2 linked regions of the Ovis aries genome follow. The protein of the gene in region 1 purifies or fractionates together with the protein of each later gene. This does not show direct contact. Links are inferred from orthologs where the notes say so. Each region holds a gene or a part of one and is shown on either strand. Other genes may lie near its edges.

Region 1 (3,566 bases):
TCCCATAGGGCCAATACTCTAAGTACTGATTCTCTGCCTAATTTCCAGAGTTCATGGTGAACAATGGTAGGGAAAACCAGGACAAGGTCATCTACCCTTAAACTCTGTATTTCAAAGAATACACATTAGTCAATTTACTTAATGAAAACCCAGAATTGTTAAAATTTGTAAGGTTGCTCTCTTGAAGGCAATTTAAAGGTGCAGATAATTTCAATTACAGAATCAACACAAGGCAAAAAAAAAGCAGAGATGTGGAGAAACTGGATCCCTTGTGCACTGCTGGTAGGAATGTAAAACGGTACACCTGTGTGGAAAACAGTATGGTGAGTCCTCAAAAAATTAAACACAGAATTACCATATGATCCAGTAATTCCACTTCTGGGTATGTACTCAAAAGAAACGAAAGCAGGGACTAGAACAAATATTTGTACATCTATCTTCACAGCAGCATTATTCATAATAGCTAGAAGGTGAAAGCAACCCAAGTATCCATCAATAAATGTGTTACATACATACATGGAAATATTATTCAACCTTAAAAAGGGAGTTCTGACATACTCTACAATGTAGATGAACCTTGAAGACATTATGCTAAGTGAAACTGGCCAGTTTAAAAAGGCCATGTATTACATAATTTCATTTGTATGAAATGTCCAGGACAGACAAATCCATAGAGACAGAAGCAGATTAGAGATTAGTAGGGGCTAGTGTGGAGGACAGAAGGAATGCTAAGTGACTATTAATGGGTTTGGTCTTTCTTTGGGGGAAGGATGATGAAAATGCTTTAGAATCACACGATGGTAATGATTATGTAACTCTGTAAATACACTGAAAACCACTGAAGTGTACATTTTAAGAGGGCAAACTTTATGGGATGCGAATTACGTCTCAATAAAGCTATTCTGAAAAAAATATATCACCTACAATAGCCTGTATGATTTGACCCTGTACCTCTCTCCAAAATCATCTCCTACTTTTCTCCTCATAAACTACATGCCAGTCACTATGTCCTTCTATCTCTCTCAAGAATATCCAAGCTCTCTGCTGCTTACGTACTTGCTATTAAACTCATGCCTGAAAGGTTCTTCCTTCAGGTTGTTAAAAGATTGGTTCTATCTCATAATTTGGGATTCAGCTCAAATGTCTCCTAAAAGAAGCCTTCCCTGACCACAAAAACTAAAGTGAATCTCCAACCCCCTCCACTTTATGACTGTCCCCAGTATTCTTACCTGGAGAATCCCACGGACGGAGGAGCCCGGTAGGCTACAGCCCATGGGGTCGCAAAGAATCGGACACGACTGAGCGACTTCACCTCACCTCACCTTAACCTTATGGTACTTATCACCATCTGAAACTATCTTATTTGTCTATTTCCCCCTTCTAGATTTTAAGCTCCATGACAGTAAGAGCCCTGCTTCTCTTGTTGCCTTCCTGGCACCTCGGAGTATATGACTTTAACAGGAGCTCAATAAATATTTGTTAAATAAATAAGCAACAGTAAAAATCAAAATATGTCATTATATAAGTTATTCACCATGGAAACTATTGTTTAAACAGAAATCATGTCAATTTGCTAACAGATCTCAGCTTGCAATAGCTATTACCTAAAGCCTATCTACTTAGCTGAAACTGCCCCTAAAGACTTCTGCTTCCATCTCAGAGAACATGCTGTCCTCACCTCATTTTCTATGCATCAGCAGCTATTAACTATGTCAGCGTTCTTAGGTTTGGGGATCTCTTCTTTCTCCCTCAGCCAAACTTCCTCTGGTTAGTTCTGAAATCCCAAAAGCTCACAGAAGGCTTAGGTCCCAGATATCTGACCCCCAGTGCTAGAAGAGAATAAGACAGTACTCTAGGCTAGTGCTTCGTCAACATAAACATTCATATTTGACAGAATCTTTGGATTCTGTAAAAAGAGATACTGATACAGCAAGCCTAGGTGGAACCTGAGATTCTGCATTTCAAACAAGCTCTCAGGTAATAACTATGCTCTTGGTCTGCTGACCACACTCTGAGAGGCACTGGACTAGACAATGAAGCAGTCAGAGGTAGGTTCTCAGTAGACATTCTGGCTGCCAACAGGGAACACCTAAACATTATGGCTGCTGCTGCTGCTGAGTCGCTTCAGTCGTGTCCGACTCTGTGCGACCCCATAGACCGGAGCCCACCAGGCTCCCGTCCCTGGGATTCTCCAGGCAAGAACACTGGAGTGGGTTGCCATTTCCCTCTCCAATGCATGAAAGTGAAAAGTGAAAGGGAAGTCGCTCAGTCGTGTCTGACTCTTCGCGATCCCATGGACTGCAGCCCACCAGGCTCCTCCGTCCATGGGATTTTCTAGGCAAGAGTACTGGAGTGGGGTGCCATTGCCTTCTCCGAAACATTATGGCTAGTATATAACAAACCAAATGCAGACTAGTGGTTCTTCATTTGCATTCTATGACTAGAGCATTACTATTCTTTCTTTAATTGCAGAATTTCAAAGGTTGGCTGAAGCATAAAAATATGACAAATCTTGGTTAAAACTTTTTCAAAGGGAACACATTGATGACTGGGGAAATAGGATTTCCATTACAGGTAACATTCACCTCCAATATCTGTAAAATAAAGTACATTTGTATCTTTAGGTTATTTAGGATTCCCAGCTCCAGATAGGGAAAGAGAAATTAAGAGGACATGAGTGTATCTTAGAGTGTTCATTATCTTTATTGTAGGGATGTCAAAACGCATCAAATGGTACACTTGAAATGTGCAGTTTATTGTATGTCAACTATAAATAAAGCCATACAGAAATCAAAAAATAAATAAATAAATAAAGGACACGTGTGCAGGTATCTGAAATCTCTGTCCTGAATGACTAATTACTTATTAAACAGTAAATACATATAGCTTCGCCTCTGTCTGGAAGTCCTGAAAAACCATGAGAGCAGGATGAGGATAAGTAAAGAATTCAGCAGTTTAGAATGATGACTGCATTTCACAGAATGACCTCTCAGAATATCACTTTTCCAAGCCTTAAAATGATGAGACTATAAATGGAAGAACAGACCTCTGACGATCTGTGTGCAGGTACAATGCTTGTTCCCCAGCCCGGCCATTACTTGGCAGCCTCACCTCTAGGGGCAGGTAGGTATGCTTTTGTTCCTGGCCAACTTGCAGGCAAGGCAGGTGGGGATACTTGAGCTGCAGGTTATATTTCTGCTTGAAATACTGGGCCACTGTGCACTCCACAGTCTGTCCACTCTCTAGCTGCAGAGGAAACCTGTTTGGGGGAAGGGAAAGAGGTGTCATAGTCCAGCATTCAATAACACCTTTCTAGACCTATAACCATGCACAAGGCCAGACTTGACTTCATTCCTTTCCAGCCTCTGTGAACACTCCTGCCACTCACGGGAAAGCAGAGGCAACACAGGGCTCAAGAGTGAAGCCAAAGATTTGAAAAACAAGTTATACAATGGTCAGATCATATCTGATTCATCTGTATTTCTAATGTTGAACATGAAGTCCGACACACAGTAGTCACTCATGGTCCAGCACAGTCTGAAGTGGAAGATTTTAGATGATATCAG
Region 2 (2,844 bases), on another chromosome or scaffold:
GGAGGACTCCTGGGCAGCTGCAGAAGGAGCCAGTCCCCTCAGCTTTGGCCCTGGGCCCTTTTTCCTTCAGGAGCTCCCCCATGGAGGCGCAGCCCCCAGTCTCTCCTCAGCAGTCTGAGTGCAACCCGGTCGGCGCCCTGCAGGTGGGCTGCATCCTCATTCCCCCTGCCTGCCTGCCTTCGCTTGTACCTGGGGCTGTGGGGGAAGCTGATAGGGGCCAGGTACCCTGTTCTGAGGGCTTTCCCCACCCACCTCCCTTCACTCCTCCTCTAACCTGGAACCTGAGACTCCGGGACGGGAGTGGGGGGGATGTGAGGACTCCTCTCTCACACACTCTTGCACACCCTTGTTTCTCCCTTCCAAGGAGCTGGTGGTGCAGAAAGGCTGGCGGTTGCCTGAGTACACGGTGACCCAGGAGTCTGGGCCAGCCCACCGCAAAGAGTTTACTATGACCTGCCGAGTGGAGCGTTTCATTGAGATTGGTAACTGGGCGGAGGGGAGTGCTTGTAGTGACTACCCCGCAGCACTCCAGCCCTGGCCAGGGGCAGCTCCCAGCTTCTCTCTACGCTCCTGGCTGAGACCCTGGTTTGGCTGCTGCTTCCTTGCGCCCTTTCTTGCCCTCCTCTTCTGGCCAGCCGGGTTCTTGGGTGCCTGGCAGATCCTGAGTTCCCCTTTTCAATTGACAGCCACTGAGGGGACCCTCAGCCCAAGTTTAAGCTGGGTGGAAGCAATGGGTCTACTGGGAACCATAATTCAGCAGCCCTCTCCCCTGTGCAGGCAGTGGCACGTCCAAAAAGCTGGCAAAGCGTAACGCAGCGGCCAAAATGCTTCTTCGAGTGCACACAGTGCCTCTGGATGCCCGGGACGGGAACGAGGCAGAGCCCGAAGACGATCACTTTTCCATTGTGAGTGGCTTTTGGGCCATGCCCCGTGCTCCATCCTTCATGCCAGGGTAGGGCACTGAGGACTCAGGTCTGTGACTTGGAAGTGAGCTTCCTGGGCCCCAGACCTCCTTCTGCCCATTTTCCTTCTGGACCCAGGGATCCTTGGGCCCCCTTTCAGCCTCAGCTGTAGGGCTGCGTGGTGAGTGCTTTGGGGAAGGGAGCTGGCCCAGGGCAAGGGACCTGAGGCTTCTGTTATTGGAATAGAAAGGTTGCCTGACCATCTGGTCCACAGTCTAGTAGTTAGAAGGGGCCACACAGGGATTGGGCTTCCTGGGTGGCTCAGTGGTAAAGAATCTGCCTGCCAAGCAGGAGATACAGGTTCAATCCCTGGATCAGGAAGATCCCCTGGAGGAGGAAATGGCAACCCACTCCAGTAGTTTTGCCTGAAAAATTCCATGGACAGACGATCCTAGTGGGCTACAGTCTGTGGGGTTGCAGAAGAGTCAGGCACGACTTAGAGACCAAACAATCCAGGGATTGACTGGCAGGTGGGAAGCAAACAGGAGGAAGCATTCTTTGGGCTTTTCTCCTTGGGCATGGAATGTCTCTTCAGGGCCTGGTTTCAGAGCCCCTGGCTGCATCCTTCCCCCGTCCCTGTCTTGTCAGGGTGTGGGCTCCCGCCTAGATGGACTTCGGAACCGAGGCCCAGGCTGCACCTGGGATTCTCTGCGGAATTCAGTGGGAGAGAGGATCCTGTCCCTCCGCAGCTGCTCCTTGGGCTCCTTGGGCGCTCTGGGCCCTGCCTGCTGCAGTGTCCTCAGTGAGCTCTCTGAGGAGCAGGCCTTCCATGTCAGCTACCTGGATATTGGTATGGCTAGTCGGGGGGCCGGGGGACGGTGGGGACTAGACCAGAGCAAGTATGGATGGGAATGAGGGCTTGGGAGGGCGTGACAGTGACATGGACCCGCCCCAGTGCTGCCTTCCTGCCCAACATTGCCTCCCTCTTCTCTCTCGGTCTCCAGAGGAGTTGAGCCTGAGTGGGCTCTGCCAGTGCCTGGTGGAGCTGTCCACACAGCCAGCCACCGTGTGCCATGGCTCTGCAGCCACCAGGGAGGCAGCCCGTGGCGAGGCTGCGCGCCGTGCCCTGCAGTACCTCAAGATCATGGCGGGCAGCAAGTGAAGCCACGGCAGGACTCATGAAATACATCCTCTGCTCCCTGCTCTTCCTGCGCCCGGCCTGTGAGCCTGCCCAGCTCTGGTACCCCCTGGAGGTGCCACCTCTACCTCTGACACAGACTGCAGGCTGAAGAAGGCACAGGGCCAGGAGCCAGGGACCACAGGGCCTCAGCTGGCTCAGGTTCTGCCGTCATGTAACTGGTGATGACCAAGGGGAATGAAACTGGGGGCTTTCCCATTAAGAGCCCCAAATAAATGTGCTGCTTTTTGGATTCTTTAGTCCTGGTCTGTTTCCCTGAGTGGTCAGCAGTGGAGGGGGTTAGCGCCAGGTCACGTCCCCGGTGTGCCTCCCACTCTGCTCCCCACGCGTCCCCATGTTTGCCCTTCTGGTGGGTGCACTGACATCTGGGTACACCATCGCCTGTGTTCCTGGAGAGTTGGGTTTAGTGGTGGTGGGGGAGGCTGTGGTTCTTGTCTTGGGACTCCCTCCTGTGTCTCATGATGCAGACACGTGCACACGGATTCAGAAGCCAGACAGCTTTATTCGCAGGGGACACATGGCAGTTTGGGGTGTGGGCCTTGAATGCAAACCTCAGATGACACGTCACTTCTTCCCGAAGCGCTGAGGGGCAGCCAGGCTCCAGAAGGGGGAACTCAGCCCCTCTCCAGCTCGGGGACTCAGTCTTTTGTTGCTCCAGGAGCCCCGGGTGTTTCTGCCAAACCTTAGGAGAGATCCACCCTCAGCTATGGGTCCTTCCAGATCCCCACTTTCCTCCTCTCCTCC

The links. The genes of interacting proteins can lie anywhere in the genome.
Region 2: the proteins of protein argonaute-1 (region 1) and TARBP2 purify together in Homo sapiens (co-immunoprecipitation; 4 studies listed by BioGRID and IntAct, with this or other methods). This does not show direct contact. The link is inferred for Ovis aries from reciprocal best matches to the Homo sapiens genes AGO1 and TARBP2.

Annotation. Positions count from the first base shown.
Region 1 is NC_056054.1:10,833,121-10,836,686, reverse strand, and holds part of protein argonaute-1, read right to left. Parts: intron 3,260-3,566; coding exon 3,112-3,259; intron 1-3,111.
Region 2 is NC_056056.1:133,004,818-133,007,661, reverse strand, and holds the end of TARBP2 (RISC-loading complex subunit TARBP2), read left to right. Parts: intron 1-70; coding exon 71-143; intron 144-364; coding exon 365-482; intron 483-777; coding exon 778-905; intron 906-1,550; coding exon 1,551-1,752; intron 1,753-1,906; coding exon 1,907-2,064; 3' UTR 2,065-2,332; downstream 2,333-2,844. Other genes in the region: NPFF (pro-FMRFamide-related neuropeptide FF), read right to left, coding at 2,665-2,782. UniProt on the Homo sapiens protein: Required for formation of the RNA induced silencing complex (RISC). Component of the RISC loading complex (RLC), also known as the micro-RNA (miRNA) loading complex (miRLC), which is composed of DICER1, AGO2 and TARBP2.